2 linked regions of the Drosophila melanogaster genome follow. The protein of the gene in region 1 interacts with the protein of each later gene in a pairwise test. Each region holds a gene or a part of one and is shown on either strand. Other genes may lie near its edges.

The links. The genes of interacting proteins can lie anywhere in the genome.
Region 2: the proteins of brv1 (region 1) and phr interact in a two-hybrid assay, tested with the Drosophila melanogaster proteins (one large-scale study listed by BioGRID).

Annotation. Positions count from the first base shown.
Region 1 is NT_037436.4:19,480,631-19,490,083, forward strand, and holds brv1 (brivido-1), read right to left. Parts: upstream 5,869-9,453; 5' UTR 5,840-5,868; coding exon 3,653-5,839; 3' UTR 3,196-3,652; downstream 1-3,195. Other genes in the region: CG32212 (uncharacterized protein), read left to right, coding at 7,324-7,335, 7,395-7,718.
Region 2 is NT_033778.4:7,821,394-7,829,992, reverse strand, and holds phr (photorepair), read right to left. Parts: upstream 4,705-8,599; 5' UTR 4,490-4,704; coding exon 4,448-4,489; exon of another isoform or gene 4,394-4,447; coding exon 3,122-4,393; intron 3,060-3,121; coding exon 2,706-3,059; 3' UTR 2,674-2,705; downstream 1-2,673. Other genes in the region: CG18853 (uncharacterized protein), read right to left, coding at 12-401, 461-647, 738-799; Prosalpha1 (proteasome alpha1 subunit), read left to right, coding at 1,508-1,583, 1,646-1,822, 2,111-2,592; CG30383 (uncharacterized protein), read left to right, coding at 4,870-5,301, 5,535-5,867; cathD (cathepsin D), read left to right, coding at 6,527-7,444, 7,508-7,768.

The DNA.
Region 1 (9,453 bases):
GTGATGCAGGATGCGACGAAACGAGGCACCAGTACAAGAGCCAACAAATGTTTGCTAAGATTATTTCCTTGTTGCTCCTTAATTTGATTATGAAAAAGGATTACTCGGGCGGGCAATGAGGGATGTGTTTAATTATATTCCTTACTCATTTGAACTTAGATACTATAATATTTTTGAAATATTTCAAACTAGTTATCAAAGAACTCCTCAGTATTTCTTTTAATTCAACTAATTCAAGCGGTTTTAATGTACTGGCATACGTTTTTTTGTACTACCCAAATTGAATACATGCTGGCCCCTCGAAAATTCCTGCCAAATTCTGAGACTCGGCTAATGATCCAGAATCTAAGCAAGGCCAAGAGTCCCATAATTCCCCGAAAACGGGGCGAATCGCGCTTGCCATTGTGCGCCTATCTATATGGCTAATTATGCTAAACAAATTATGGAATATGATTAATAGAGAGCACGGCCTGGCAATTAACTTTTTGCGATAAATAAACCGGAATATATACGTAAGTCTAATTTAATGCTCGCTGGTATTGCGGCCAGATTTATTGGTCCCGCCCACATTTGACGCCCCTAGGGTTCGTTTTGCAGAACGGATTTGTCCTGCGATTTAACAATTCACGTAGTGACATTTGCATTTTTGATTGCCTCAATATTTCTTGCACTGCTTTGTTTTTGCTTATGGCCATCGCCATCGCCACCGCACCGTTGTAGGTGTTCCACTCCCCCCCCCCCCAAAAAAAAAAAAAAAATGTGGGCAAAAAAGTTTAAGGCCAAGAAACGTGTCGTGTAAATTAAACAGGTTTGGGTTTTAGCGGGGAGTTTTTCGGTTTAAAAAATGATACTCCAAAGGTCAGCGCGGCTTTAAAACGTTGTGCAAGTCATTTATATACAGCTACCTTTTTTCGCTGGGCGTAACAATGTCTAATTATGCCGTTTTGTGGGCGGCTCAGCTGTTTTTTTACTTGGGACGGAGTCAACGCCATTTTCTTAATTCGTTCGCGGTTCATTCTCGCCACTGAGGAAAATATTTCAATATGCGGGCTCTTTTCTCGGTGGGGATTAAAGGCTAAGGCTAAAAGTTCGAGGGACCAGAACAAAGAGCCGATGTATTATATTTCCAGGCAATTGTTTATGAGCCCCTTCTTTAACTCTTGGTTGGGGTGCATGGGGACATTATTTTTTCGGTGGGAAGAATCGTGCCGAAGTGGCGGGAAACCTAAAAACAAAAGAAAACGGAACGACGAACCCCTGGCGGCGTGCAAAACTCCTACACGCACTCCTCTGATGGATTCAGGACTCAGGACTCGAGGAGTGACGCGCTTGGCGCTGCACCAGCACTTAACCTTGGCTGAACACCGAGGACACGGCACTCGAGGTATGAATTAAATCCTGCCACGAATCCTGTCCGCAAAGATACCTAACACATAGACGAGACTTCGTTTCTCTGTGGAAACTTTAACCCAAAAGCCTGGCAGGACGAAGTTGGCTCTCTTTCGAGGGGCAGGAAGCTTTGTCGTGCGACTTCCATTCAGCGCTTCTCTTTGGCGAGAGCTTTCAGAATGAAGAGAAGTAATGTTAAGAGAATGTAAGAGAGGAGGTCTGAAATCATGTTTGTTGGAATATCTCTGAAGGGCAAGTGTTGCAAACTGCTGCACATTTCTAAAACAAAAATATAAAAATAAAGATATAAAATATATAAAATAAAAAATAAAAAATTTCTAAAATAACAAAATAATAATGAAATGATTTAATATTTACGAAACTGTTGTCAGCAGTATTATTACATTATTATTGATAAAGTTAAGTTTCTTCAGCATATTATCCACCTCACTCGTAGACATGGAAAACACATGGATAATTCCTGGGAAATGCCTTGTCCACGTAGAAGACATATTTCATATGGCGCTATGGAGAAAGAATGCTTGATACTGTGAAAGTTGAGACAGCATTGGAGGATACATTTTCCAAACATCCCTTGCCTGGGAGAAAAGATTCTTGAGCTTAGGAACTTAATTACGATTTTTTATGCTCTCTGGCTAGGCGTAATAACATATCGAACTCCATTCCTTAATGGTCCACTCCTTGTTGATTCTACTGGACAGTGAGCAAATGCAACATATTCATAATTCAGAATCTGAGGCTTCGACATTATCTTTAAAATCAGATTCTTTTTATCACTTTGCGGCCATTTGATCCCCTCCAATTCTACCAATGATTCAAACTCCCCTTCTCTATTTCTCCGATTCTTTTTCTCAAAACCTTCCGATTATTCTTTCGAAAATATTCTTATTTTTTAAGGGCTTTATTAGACCCTAAGTGGATGATTTAATGATTTCGATTTAACTTTCTTACAATTTATATTTTATATATATATGTTTTTTTTTTTCAGACAGAAGCTTGCAGCGCAGTAAGGCTGACACTTGCGTTTACATAGATACATACATTTTTTTTGTAGCTCAAATATTTTAACATAATTTTTTAACATAGACTTAGCAGGTCAATATATATACAGGTATTCCGTGCACACATTGTATCATAACAGCAAGCTTTCGTAAGCCAGCAGCACTAATGCATACTTTTGGGTGCTGATTGTGGAGCCATACAAAAAGCGATCAAAAATTAAAAACTTTTCGGGTAGCTCACTGGAGCACTAACACAATGGCAGGGGAAAATGCACACGGCTTTTGATTTGGCCACTCTCCTTCTTTTACCGTTTGTCTTCGGCTAAAACACACACACACATACCCTTACACCCTTACGCCGAGGAAAATGGAGAAATAGTCAGGTAGTTAAAACTTTTAAATTGAGGGCGGGGATCATTTGTGATTTCTGCCGTCTGGGCACTGCACAAATAAAAGGGAAGGATCCTGAATGTGGGAAAATCCTGGAAAGTTACAGTCACGGCAGAAGCGCTCTGTCACTGCTCATTTGTTGCTAATAATTATAAAAGTTTTCCCCAATCCCCCGAGTGACGTAAGTGCGACAGGAAAGATATAGAAAAACACTTGCCAGACTATCTGTCTGTGGGCTGATGCTGATAGAAAAAGGACCCGAAACTTTTGACAATTGTTTAGTTTACAGGATGTGCTCGACAATGTTTGCCGAGTCCTTTTTAGAGCTGGCATTTAGCTCAGATTTCGCAGCGAATAGCGAATAGTTTGCAGTCGCGGCTCGGCCTAAAAGCTTGCAGTATTAAATTTTTATTTGCTTACTTCATAACAATAGTGAGGGCTGTGCCACTCCCCCTTTTATAAGTCACTTGGTTCGGGCACTTGGAGCTCAGCCAGAATCCTCGGATGGCAAACAGGCCGAACAAAGCAAGCGCCAAATTGCCCTAAAAGCCTTTTCAAGTCAAAAGTTTTGCCTGTTTGCGCATAATTATTTAGCCGTGACATAAACAAAAAATCACAAAACTGCACGGATGGGGAAGGATCCTGCAAAACTATCCTAAGTAGTGTTTAACTATTAGGGACTTTTGCCGAGATTTGGTTTCAACTGTGCAGAAAATGTTACCAAACATCACGTATGTACACATCATCATTTTACCTTGATGAAGGTACTACCATAAGTTCTATTTCACATGAATCTCTTAGAATCCCTATGATCCCTTGCACTGTATAAACTGCAGTTAAGCTGTCGTTCTTCAGTCCTCCTCAGTCTCTGGAACCTGCTCGTCTTCCTGGTCCAAACTTGGCAGGTTCCCCTCTTCGTCACCGAACATAAGCCTCTCCATGAGCTCCATTTGGGTGTGGAGGATGGCGGCCAGAGTGAAGGTTCGCTCGATCCGCTCCCTATATTTCATCTGCTCCAGATCCTTGTCTATCGGCATGACATATATTGTCTCGGAATAAATTGAACTAATCTTCGTCTTTCGTCGCTTAAGCTCATTACTATTCAGTTTTCGTTGGATGTTCTGTGCAACTGTGCGATTCTTTCGCTGATATCCCTTTTGGCAGTGGAACACTTTTACGATGTAGTTAATAAAGTGGGCATATTCAACGCGCAGGAATTGCCAGAATGTTATGCGCTGCCTCACTTTCTTATCCCTATCCGCCTTGACACTGGCCATCTGATCCCTCATCATGGAAACGATCAAGTTGATCAGCATGTACTTGACCACGAATCCCATTATGGTATACAATAAGATGCCCAGCCACTCTCCGCCGTAAAAGATATCCGGTGGGTATACCAAATTCGTATAGCCAAAGGCAAAGCAGGTGACCGTAACAATGCCCTTGGGGAAGTCCCTGAAGTTGCTGGTATAGTTGCCATTGATGGTTACCGTCGCAATGCCAATTGCAATGATGAAAATCACGGTTATTACGAAGGTGCAGAGCAACGCGTCCCACGCCATAGCGATTGTCTTGGTGAACAGTTGGAAGGTGGCGGAAAACTGCAACACTTTCCACAAACGCATAGTGACCAAGGCCACGGCCAATCCCGTGACCACATCCTCAAGGTAGGCGAGCTGGGCTGGCTCCCGAAAGTCCAGAAAGTCCACCACAACGGCGATTTCAACACTCTTGATCATCTTTTGAACCAAGTTATCCCGCACCGACATGATCATCCCCACAACGAGGCTGAGTGCCACGATCATTGCATCCACCTGGACCCACAGGGTCTTCAACTGTCGAGGATCGTACCAGACCTTCAGGAAGAACGCCTTGGTGAACTGCAGCCACGTGACGACAAAGACAAACACCATTAGCATTCCGAACTTCGTAAACTCTCGCAGTTGCTCCACAAAGGTGTGACTCTCGATCCTCGTGTGGCCATCAGGATACTGGTAAGGGAACTTTTCCACCCACAAGGTGCACACGGTAAAGGTGTTGGCATCCGCGTTGTACAAGCTGAAATCCATGAACAAAGCGGTCGTATTCGCATCCAGCCAGTTTTTCTTCATCAAGTAATCAATAATTTTCAGGCTTTTGTGGCGGGTGTCCGAGAGCAGTACCTTGTAGCCCTTCGATTCCGGATAGTTGAACATGTGCCCCACGTGGTTAATGCCCATAAGTAGGTTGTCCCGAGCAACAGAAACACTGGGCAGCCAGGGTGTGTAGATGGGCCAGTACTTGTCCGTATAGGGAACCCTTTCGTAGGGCAGTGTCCAGCTCTCCGAAAAGTCCCGCTCAGTGAACACAGGAAGCGATAGACCCAATCGGTTGCTCTCTGTCCTCAGCTGCCTCAGTCTCACCACGCCCAGTAGTCTAGTGCCCTCCGCATGGATCCAAGGAGCTCCGCCACTGGTGTTCTTGCCATCCGTAAAGGCCAGCACTAACGAGGACACCACAAAAAAATATATATCCGGCACATCCCCCACACTCAATAGTCCGAACGCATCCCCATGATTACATTGGAACAGTAACTCCGTGGCCTCTGTGTTAAAGTACAGCAACTCATCGAAGAAAGCCAAGGCCATGAAGAAGTAAACCAGGAACAGCTTGCCCGTGAGCCAAAGTTCCTCGGTAATCAGGCGATACTTCAGGTTGACCCTCTCGTTCCGATGCCTCTCCGTGATCATCAGCTCACTCCGCAGCGTCCGGAGGCGCAGTCTGAGATTGTCCATGAACGTGTCCACATTGGCATTCTCGTCGGGAGTCTCCGGTGCTTGGTGGGCCGGCCAGAAGGCGGCATCCAGCGACATAATTGTGAACTTAATGGGCGTAAAGATTAGGATCTGAAGTAAAGTAACGGCCAAGAAGGCAACCAGGATCATGTTGAATTTGCCATATTCGTGACGGAAGCCCGAGAACATCCAGATACAGGCCACACAGATGGCTATGATTATCAGGGTCAGATAGAATATTATGTTACTAAACTTCTTCGCCATTGCTGTTATCAAGCTTTAGTTGAGCCTCTATAAGCTTGTATACAAATAGAATGAGTGAAAACTCCCTTGACAGTTTAGGATGGGGTTCTTTGGGATGCTTTAGATTTGATTACAGTGCCTGTCCATACTACGTAACTTATTATCATACTATTATTATGTATACTATTAGGTATAATTTGCATAGTCCCAGATTTAAGTTTACAAAGCTTTCCCCGGACTCCCAATTATTTCATTGAAATAAATATTAATTTGAAGCGTATTTAAAAAGGAATATACAATTGAATATCCATTTATTTCCGTTGTCTCCGAGGTGATCACAGCTTAGTAATTTAAATAAGGAGCGGTGCAGATGGAACGGCGTAGCTCAGTGGTGCGGAGTAAGCCAAAGGCGAGGAGTAGGTCATGGCGCAGCCAGAGGAGCGGCTGCGTACAGGGCCAAGAGAGACACAGCCAGAGGAGCAGCCACGGGAGCAATCACAGGAGCAAGAGCGATTTCATTCATTAACCTGACAACTGGCAGCGGTCACAACTGGAGAGAGACCAGCTACTACGACAGTCAGACCAGAGGAGGAGAGTAAGCCACGTTAGCAATGTAGGCCAAGGCGCACCAAGCAGTTCAGGCCAAGACAAGGACGTCCTGTGAATAAAATACAATTCGTATATAGGGCAGAAAGCTAAGATTCAAAACTTACGGATTTAAACATTTGGATTATGGATCTGGTGCTTTCGGTTCGAAAACTTGAACCTGATGTCGCCTGTAGCATATTGGACTAATCTACCCTAAGAATACAATAGATGATTGGGTATAACATAGCGTCAATACATTGTGACACTTTGTCATAATAAATATAAATATACAAATATACAAAAAGACCACCAAAAACTACGTAAGCACTCCAGCGCCCCAGTAATACGATCTAACGCTTATACATAAGCCGATCGCGGAGCGTGGGAATGCTGAGCATGCACTTTGCAGCTCAAGTGGTCAATGCCTTCTGCATACATATGTATATGTATAAATGTAAGTAAGAATACATAGATATAAGCAATGTATGTGCGGGTTAGCTGAACCCAACTTCAGCACACTTTGATCATTCGAATAAACAGATTCAAACAGAGCAGAGGTTCTGAGCTCGGAAACCAAATCTATTACATCTATACCTGTTACATTTTTAAAACAATTACACGCCCAACACATTCCATACCACTATTTATACGCCGCATCGAGGCTGCGCCTGTGACTTCAGGTCATCGCATTTAGTCCACCTTCTGCAGTTAGCAGTGAGAAATCACATAAACTACGGAAAAGTGAAAATGGTTAATCGTAACGGGAGACTGTCACAGCATTTATATGAACTAAATAAGTGCGAACAGGAGTCAGAGCTGACCACAATTTCGGGTATAAATATGCTCCACGCAGAGGAGTGGGATATCAAAGAGCTTCTAGCCTTCCGAAAAAGCACAACACAACGAAATATTCCACCATGTTCAAATACGTACGTTCTTCAGAAAGGACCCACAGAGGATTAAGCTAATCAAGCTGATTTGTTAACAGGCCGTCCTTGTCCTGATAACCGTCGCCTGCGCTGCTGCCAAGCCCGATCTCCTGGGTGCTGCCCTGGCGTACACTGGTCCTCTGGCTTACTCTGCTCCTCTAGACTACTCTGCTCTCGCTGCCGTGGTAACTGCTCCCACTCCACCTGTGACCGCCACCAGTATCGCCAGGAACAACAATGGAATCGATGCTGCTTCTGAGATTGCTTCCGTTGCTGCTCCAGTGGTGGCCAAGTACGCTGCTGCTTCTTTGGCCTACCCTTCGCGTTTGGCCAACTCCGCTCCAATCAGCTGCGCCTCTGCTGCTGCGCAGGTCATCATCTAAATTATCAACATGTGATCACTTGACGAAATAAATTTGCAAATGTATGTCAAAAATGATGGTGGTGGCAGCGTGATAGGAAACTATCGATAGGATCAGGAGTGCAGTTGGCAGGAATGATCGAAAAAGAAGTTGCAAACTAGAAGTCGAAATGAAATGAGTTGTGAAAAAGCGGATAAGTCAGAAGTTGAAAGTAGAAGTAGTGTTTGTCTTTTCTCCTTAACTTTTTAATATTAAATAATATAAAAAAACAATAACCAATATTTGAATAAATATTACATGTATTAAACATGTTTTAAATTAGATACAATTCCTTCTTAAAATGAATATATTTATAGGCTACTCTCACTGAAGATAAAGCTCTCCTGGGCCTTCTCTCTTGTTTTTGCCGAATGACAAATATATTTTATTGTACCTCGTGTAAATTTTAGCGATTTGCCGAAAAACGTTTGCCACTCCCACGCCGCCCACTAAAACAGGTTACACCCACACTTTGGAACAATTTTATATTTTTTCTCATTTTATTCCCCAATATCTATCGATATCCCAGGAAAATAATGAAATTTCGCGTTCGCATTCACACTAGCCGAGTAACGGGTATCTGATAGTCAGGGAACTAGACTTTAGCATTGTCTCTTGTTCTTTTCTCGGTATGCAGAATTTAAGAACTTCTTGGTTTTGCAGTTTGTTTTCCGCCGTTGTCCGAAACTCCATTAAATATTCAGCTGTCTAATCCCTTATCCGGTATTCCCAGCAGCCCTAACTCGCTTAAATTTCACTTGCCTGCTGGTAGTTAGTTAACCTTGCATTTCTTTGTCCTTGTCGGGTTGAAGCCATGTACAAATTATTGTGCTATCAGTGGCACTTCAATGGGCTCCCAGCGGTTGCCACTTAGGGTTGCCAACGAGTGCAGCAGATGCACCACCACCTACCGCCCACTAAGATGGGACCCCCAAGCCCCCCGGAAGCCACTGGGCTCTCAGTACTGGGGCTGGCAATAAAATTCCTAAACCGTTTTTGACAAATGAAACGTGCAACAAACAAGACGCCCAGGCGGCTACAGGCGAAAAAGTACGTAAGACGTGGGGCGAAGGACCAACCAGCCAGCCTGCAGCATCCAGGATACAGGTCCTGAGACCCAGGACGTAGGTCGCAGGACGCAGGACCGAGAATCTGCGAATGAGCCGAGCTCCAGTGCCAACAAAGATTTATGCATTTTACAGGGCAGACTACACTTTATGCGAAACTAAACGGCAAACAGTTTGAGTGAGGAAAGCTTTCACTCTCCATGCAGAGAAAGAAAATTGTCAAAATTATCAAACCTAAAGATTTCATGCTGAAAAAAACTTTTAAGGTTAAAGGTCTAAATCTTCGTTATTATCTAGGCTGGAGTAAATTTGATTATTCCAGACCCCATTTGAAGCTTGTATAATATCACTTGTGAATCCTTTGCAAATCACTTTCTTAAGTACTAAGTAAGGTACTAAATAAAGTTAAATTTTTATGATTACTATTGTACTTCGAGTTCCAGAGTCAATTTATCTCTGTGCACCATCTGTGCATTCCTTGGCGAAGCGGAAATGAAGCATCACATGCCCCGTGCCCCTTCGGATCCGGGGTTTCAGGGGAGGAAGTCCATTGTGCCTTTTAATAGACTGAACTACACGGCATCTGACTCTGAGCGCCGGCATCCTGCCACTTTGTTTGCCGGCAAACATTTGTGCAGCTTATTAATATG
Region 2 (8,599 bases), on another chromosome or scaffold:
CCGTGGTGAACCTTTTCTAGTTCTTCTAAGCTGTAGCAGGGATCTCGCTTGTCCTTGCGATGTGCATCTAGCGTTTGATATGCCCAAGAACTTAGACCTTTAAGACTATCATAGTGCTCGTTGTAGAAGCAAAAGTTATCCGCCTTGGCCTTGGGGTGGGAATTGTTGCGGTGAAAATGATAGATGAGCCACAGATGGGAAAAGTCCTCTAGTCCCTCCAAGGAGTGCTCCGGATTGGTGAACACACCGTCGTTCAGTTGGATGATACCCCGCAGGCGACTGCCCACAATTGACTGCCTCGGCACGGCCCGCTTCTCTGGGAATGCTGTCCGGATCACTCCTATGGGCCGAAAGTGTGCGTAGTCCTCTCCCAAGCAGTGCCCACCATTGGTATAATTGCTCTAAGGATTGGGTGCGAGGTTTGTATGTGTCTTTCAGTGTGTGGGAGGGTCAAACGCACCTGACCTTGGCCCGTCTGCTGGTCCTGCGTCTGCTGTTGGTGCTGGTGCTCCTGCTTCTCGCCGGCGACCTTGTCCTTGGCGCTTTTGTTGTTGTTCGCACACCCCTCGCAGCGGAAGTCCTGCAGCAGGCGGGTTATCGTCTCAATGTCCTTGCGCTGCACATGCTGCAGGTTGCGCACTTGCTGCCTGCATCATGGTCAAGGCAAAATCGGTGTGAACTTGAACTATACCAGTAGCAAAAGGACACTCATGGCAATTTGCCTGTCTCAAACGCACCTGAGATTGTTGATCTCGTTCCGCGCGATGGTCAACTGACTCTTCAGATCATCCTCGTGCATTTTCGCTGCCGGCAACGCGCACTTGACTCCCAAATAATCCGCAATTGCAGCGTTCTCCGCTGTTATTGACCAATATTTACCTCGATTCTCAATGGTTACATCCAGCTAGAGTTGGCCATCACTTACGCACGGCACCGCGACGTTATCGATTGTCGATAGGTTCACCTGTGCTTAGTTACGGCCAACTGCCTTAATTCCAGTTAGATTTAGCTTGCGCTCAATAGCTTTTTTTACAAACATTTTCTTAAGAAATAACGTTGTAAGCCTCAACAAAAATTATATAAGATAACGTTACTGAGCAGTAAAAGTTTTGTCTTCAATTTACATATGTTTGTTAATATTTTTTTTTACAAATCCCTTTGCTCTATGTTGACTAATTTACAATAATTCACAAATAAAAATAGGAATAATTTAAACATTTTGTAAGCGTAGCTTAACACTATTTTGGCTTTTTCCAAATATTCGATTTCAATGATAAACGATATATCCCAGCGCGCGTTTCTTTTTGGTATTTTTTAGGTTCATTTTCGGGCTGAGAATGACAATCTGAATTTTGCACAGTAGGTTCGATTTGAAGCGACATTTTCCCTGCTATATACAAATTTGTAAATTTTAATTGTTCAAAAGGTGTGTTGCTTGCGGCAGACTTGAGAACTGAATTTTAACCGGCGTTGTCTATTGCAGCTATCGAAGCACGAAGAAAGCATCATGTCTCGCGGAAGTTCAGCCGGCTTTGACAGACACATCACGATCTTCTCTCCGGAGGGACGCCTCTACCAAGTGGGTTAGTATCCTGGCACTTGCGGCTCCATTGTATCCAGTCTGACATTCTCATTTCCCCGCCAGAGTACGCCTTCAAGGCTATTGCCCAGGAGAACATCACCACGGTGGCGCTGAAGAGTGGCGACTGTGCCGTGGTGGCCACCCAAAAAAAAGTGACCGAGAAGAACATCGTGCCTGAAACGGTGACCCACCTGTTCCGCATCACCAAGGACATTGGATGCGCAATGACCGGACGCATAGGTATGAACCATAGATACTTTAAATTCTTGTTTATCCCGGCGTGATTCGAGTCAAATTCCAGTCGAGTTAGCACAGAGTTATCCCATTGTTGATATGTCCCATGTAACCAAGTAGCGATTCACTTATGATTGTGCTAAAATCAGAAGAAATAGCCTGCCAGACATTAGGGCAAAGGCGTATAGCGTGGAGCCATTTTAAACGTAGTTTTCACACGGTGCTTCAACTAGAAAAGAGGACATATCAACCCAAGAGTGTCACTAAATACTTAAAATTATTTCTCTCCCCTAGCTGATTCCCGCTCACAGGTGCAGAAGGCCAGATACGAGGCCGCCAACTTCCGCTACAAGTACGGCTACGAAATGCCCGTGGATGTGCTGTGTCGTCGAATTGCGGATATCAACCAGGTGTACACGCAGAATGCCGAGATGCGTCCGCTCGGCTGCAGCATGGTGCTGATCGCTTACGACAATGAAATCGGCCCCAGCGTTTACAAGACGGACCCGGCTGGCTACTTCAGCGGGTTCAAGGCCTGCAGCGTGGGTGCCAAGACTCTGGAGGCCAACAGCTATCTGGAAAAGAAGTACAAGCCCAACTTGTCGGAGGAGAAAGCGATCCAGCTGGCCATCTCCTGTCTGTCCAGTGTGCTCGCTATAGACTTCAAGCCGAACGGCATTGAGATCGGCGTGGTCAGCAAGTCTGATCCCACTTTCCGTATTTTGGATGAGCGGGAGATCGAGGAACACCTCACCAAGATCGCCGAGAAGGACTAAGTTCTGTCCCGCTAGCTGTAATTTTGTCATATTTTATAAAGCCTCTTGGATCTATGGTTAAATAAAAAATGCTCTTGGCTTGCATTCAAAACAAAGGCAAATCCGAAAACGTTTTATTTCTTCTTGTGCACCTTACCGCCGTATCGCATGACAAAGGCATTTACATCGAATTTGCGACGGCATCCCTGATAGTTCATGTACCTAACCTTACCGAAGATAGCCCGCTCCTTCCAGCCCATGTCATGGACGCCGCCAATGGACCACATGCAGCCCACATAGCCGTTGGGGTCGCGACCATCCAGACTGTACTTGTCGTTCAGCAGGATTGCGTACTCCAACGCATGCTCCGGTGTCGCTGTCCATTCCAGAATCTTTTTGGCCCAGTACATGCGCAAAAAGCCGTGCATCTTTCCCTCGCGTACCAGCTGCAGTTGCGCCGAGTTCCACAGGTCGTCATAAGTGAGAGACTAGGAAAAAATTATAAAATCATTTTAGTCTCAAATCAAAAGAAAAAGAATCCGTGGTGAACCTTTTCTAGTTCTTCTAAGCTGTAGCAGGGATCTCGCTTGTCCTTGCGATGTGCATCTAGCGTTTGATATGCCCAAGAACTTAGACCTTTAAGACTATCATAGTGCTCGTTGTAGAAGCAAAAGTTATCCGCCAGTTCGCGGCGCACAATGGCCTCCTCGCAAAACGCATCCGCCGAGGCTTTGTGTTGTCCTCGAAACCGCTGCACCTCCAGTGCACAGCGCTGAGCCGAAATATGACCAAAGTGCAGCCACGGCGAGAGTCCGGACAAGGCGTCTGCCGTGGGATCGTTTCGTTTGTCATTGAAATGGCGCAAACGACGACTGCAGAACTCGTAGAGCTGCTGGCAGGCTGCTTTATACCCCGGCTTGGCCCACTGCACCTCGTCCACTTCCATGTCGCACTGCAGCGAAGCATAAGCAGCTGACCAGTCCACGGTATTCACATTCTTGCAGCCAGTTCCATGAGGATGCCGCACAACTGGTGGGAATACGCTGAGGTACTCCCCTAGCTTGGAGTTGATCTTGTTGCGGATGGTACGCGCAGCGTACTCCTGTTTGTCGGAGGCCACCCACAAGGGGACTACATTGTGAGCATCGACTTGCACCAACGGCACGCTCTTGGGCAGTGCCTTGCCCACATCCTCGACCCATTGGCGTGGCAAACGCAGCGGAGCAAAGTCACAGACTACGGCTCCGATGTCCTTGGATTTCACAAATTGTGGTAACTTTTCAACAGCGGAGCCCATCAGCAGGTGAAACGGTATGTCAAGGGCGCGACACTGCTGCTCCACCTCCTGCAGGCCGCCCATCATGAATTTGTAGTGCCTGATAGTGGCATTCAGGAATTTGGGAACTAGGCAAAATACCACAGTTAAGGGTAATTCCAGCTTGAGAGCCAGACGCTGGGCAAAGAGCAGGGCCCAGTTGTCCTGTACGCGCCCGTCGCGGGACATCCAGTAGACGACGCCGCCTAGGCTGGATTCCTTTACATCTTCGGTTTTGGACAGAACGCGCACTCGTTTCTTTCGAAAAGAGAACTCCTGTATGTTGGCTGCCGTGCAGACTCGCTGGTGTTCCAAGTGGGTAAGAAACTGCTCGAAGTTTTGGTAATCCGGCTTAGAAACCAACAAAGCCTTCGATGTGGAGGCCTCCTCATCGCTGCTTTCCTGGTCACTTTTGGGCTCGGAGCTGGCCTTCTCGTTTTTTGCTGCCTTTTTGGAAGGACCTGCCTTCTGCGCCTTCGTACGCTTCATCGCCTGCAGCGGAAGAACCTGAACATGAATGAAAAATCGTGATTTGATTTTTACTAATTCGATTTAACCCACAATCTTGAATGATTCGCGCCAATATGAAGCAAGTGTAAACATAACTGTATAACGATATGGCGACTCTATCAGCTGTTCAATGAGAGTGAAAATTATGCTAGTAGCCGCACTCCAAATACACTTCCCTTGGAAGAGAAATTATTATGAATTAACATAAATAAAGAATTAAGTATTATGTTTAAATTTATATTAGTAGATTTTTTTTTGGCATAATATTTTAAGGAAAGTTGTGGCTTTCGGTTTTGAAATACATTTAACTCCAGATGTTCCTATTTCCTAAACATTCCCTAAGATTTCAATAGTCTCAGTGCCGCATACGATACACAGCAGTTATCGATTACAAAAAGAGTGCAGATCTGAAAGCGCACGTTGAAATTAAACCGATTCTTTACTGTTTTATAATAAAATGTTTTATATTGGGAATGAAAATGGACGAAACTGTGGACGAAGCGGAATTTAATGCCAATATCGGCCGTATTGCTCGATCTACGCTTTTGCACGATGCTGAACAATCGATCCACAGGGAGTTGATCGACTACGCTGTTGCGTCGTGCCGTCTGTTTTACATCCAGGATGCTTCAGCCTGGAAGGAGTGGAACACCAGGAACGAGGCTTTCAGGGATCTCACTGCCAAGGAAGTGTGCCATTTATTCCTAACCGAAGTTCTGCCCCAACTGGACACCTATCAGCTTTCGGAGATGGCCCAAAAACGCCTTAAGCTTCTGGATCTGCATCCATTCTTCAGGCGCGTTGCCCAAGGCTACCAGTACACTCCGGATTGTGACCTTGCAGCTCGATTTGTAGTCCAGCGCCAGAAACATTTTATCCAACCTGAAGATATCAAGAAGATTAAGGTAAGCATATCTGTCGGCGAATAATTTTGATGCCAATTTACTATGTACATGCATAAATATGAATGTATTTACTTAAAATTGCTTTCGTTAATAAACAATAAGTACCCTTTTTTTAATTTAATTTAATCTATCCTTATGCAGTTATCCGGGCACTTACACATCACATTATAATCTTATATCTCTTACTCTCTTAATCCAATAGTATGATATTAATTTTTGCTCGATTTTTATAGAAAGGCGATTCCCTGAAAAGATGCCAAACCGTGCTCATGGAAAGCGATGAAATGGAGCAGAAAACCTGCGTTGGGTATCGAAGCAAAGTCTCCATGGAGTCCGCCGTTCTGTTCTCGGTACTGTTGTCCACCAACCATGAGCTTTCTATTGGAAAGATGCTCGATATGAGTGAGATTCACGAAAGAATGCGGCGCGCCAAACAGTCATTCGAGGATACTGCTAGAGTTACTCCGTTCCGAACGAACATTGATGACCTAATCTCCGATTTGGATGTCTGTGCTAAGGTCAAATCCAAACTTTGTCGAGTAATAAGTGATTGTAAAAAGTACTAGAAAGGATTAGCTATATCTTTTATCTATATTTAATACTTTTATTTCATTTTAATCAATAGTATAAAATTATTTCTCTGGATTTTAGGTGACTATAAGAAGACTATTTTTGTAATATTTTTGAACCATTTAAGCTCAAAATACAACTTACTATTCATATTTTAATATATAATTCCATGTTATCATGAATTTATTAGAATTTATATATACAAGTAAAGATTCGAAATTCAGCTTCGACCCGCTCCTTACGATTGTTATCTATATTATCAATTAATACATTAAGGTTGCTCATCATAATTGTTAATTGTTTGCTCATAAAAGCGTTTAAAAATGAAAGATGGGAAATACTTTTTTAGCTTTCCCTTATTGTCTCTAAAGTAAGATCGTAGTCATGATACAAGCTCTTCCTAAATGTGTAGAAATAATGATACATTTGTATTATATATACATAAACGCGAAATATTAAAAAGAAACATTCCGAAAATTAAAGAATTGCATTAGTTTACAACAAAAACTATCGAATCTCTCTAATCAAAACGACGCGCCAAGCCAAATTTAGTACATTATCTGTGCTGAATCATTTTCGCTGTGCCGCAATATTTAATTAACTGCAGCGATCATTGCAGTTTTAGCCACCAGAGAAGCGTAACATAGAAATCAAAATGCAGAAGGTTGCACTGCTTCTAGTCGCCTTCCTGGCTGCGGCCGTGGCCCACCCAAATTCGCAGGAGAAGCCCGGATTGCTGCGCGTACCGCTCCACAAATTTCAGTCGGCCCGCCGGCACTTTGCGGATGTGGGCACGGAGCTGCAGCAATTGCGCATTAGGTACGGCGGAGGTGATGTGCCGGAACCGCTGTCCAACTATATGGACGCGCAGTACTATGGGCCCATTGCCATTGGCTCGCCACCGCAGAACTTCCGTGTGGTTTTCGACACCGGCTCCTCGAACTTGTGGGTGCCGTCCAAGAAGTGCCACCTGACCAACATCGCCTGTTTGATGCACAACAAGTACGATGCCTCCAAGTCGAAGACCTACACCAAGAACGGCACTGAGTTCGCCATCCAGTATGGCTCGGGCAGCTTGTCCGGATACCTGTCCACGGATACGGTGTCCATTGCCGGCCTGGACATCAAGGATCAGACATTCGCTGAGGCGCTCAGTGAGCCGGGCCTGGTCTTCGTAGCTGCCAAGTTCGACGGCATCCTAGGCCTGGGCTACAACTCCATCTCGGTGGACAAGGTGAAGCCGCCATTTTACGCCATGTACGAACAGGGTTTGATCTCCGCTCCGGTGTTCTCATTCTACCTGAATCGCGATCCCGCCTCGCCCGAGGGCGGTGAGATCATCTTTGGCGGCTCCGATCCCAACCACTACACTGGTGAATTCACCTACTTGCCCGTTACCCGCAAGGCCTACTGGCAAATCAAGATGGATGCCGCCTCCATTGGCGATTTGCAGCTGTGCAAGGGCGGTTGCCAGGTGATCGCTGACACCGGTACCTCACTAATTGCTGCGCCCTTGGAAGAGGCCACCTCTATTAACCAGAAGATTGGTGGAACTCCCATCATCGGTGGTCAGGTGAGTACCATGCTCTAAGTTCTCACATGAAGCACTGCTAATCCTCTTAATTTCTTACTTTAGTATGTGGTTTCTTGCGATCTCATTCCCCAATTGCCGGTAATCAAGTTTGTGCTGGGCGGAAAGACCTTCGAGCTCGAGGGCAAGGACTATATTCTCCGTGTGGCCCAGATGGGTAAGACCATCTGTCTGTCCGGCTTTATGGGCTTGGACATCCCCCCTCCAAACGGACCCTTGTGGATCCTCGGTGACGTTTTCATTGGCAAATACTACACCGAGTTTGACATGGGCAACGATCGTGTGGGCTTCGCCGATGCCAAATAATCGAACAAAGAAAAGTATACTTAAAATTTAAATTGTAAACATTATCGATCGATCCCATTGCGGGTTTCTCCGAAGAATAATATATAAATTATCATTTTAGTAGATTTTCCATATATTTATTAGCGTAAGTTTATTAATTACAATAGGGCTTGCGCGGTCTGCACTTAATGAGACGAATAGTAAGTACGTGGCGATGACCGACGCTTCTAATCTTCCAAAATCGACTAACTTAAGTATAGCAAGAGTTCTTATCTCTAAAGCTTAACAAGTTACAGTTTCTTATAGGTAAAGCTCGATCTATAGATGGGAAAAGCACTTGAGGCTTACGACTATATTTCGGGTGTTTTGTGATTGTGTTAACTCCTCCCCTTCTAAGACGAAGGCTGTCCACAGACTTTTTACAATTGGCAAATCTATTTGAAAGCGGATCTTACGGGTAACATTGGTTGTGCACTAAGTTCCCATACTGCCAACCTGGTACTGCGTTAAACCATCGAAGGGAAGGCAGCTCTGCGTGTCTGGATGATCCGAGAAGTTCGTAAATGCTGCTGATTCTCCATGTCATGGGTTCGCAACAAGGTTCTGGAGATGATCGTAGCGAACTTGGAAAAAATCTTTATTGTAACCGTCGACTTGTTGACGACGATGATGCTGATGTTGGTTGAACTAGTTGACCATCAAAACGTATGTGTTGAACGCACTCTGGTTGGCGTCTGATGGCAGATATTATTCAGTTCGTCGTTTCAGTACCCAGGCGCAGAAATAGTTGCCGCATCTTTACGTCTTTAGCAGATACTACGTTGATAGATCTTAATTCCCTCTTCTACTCTT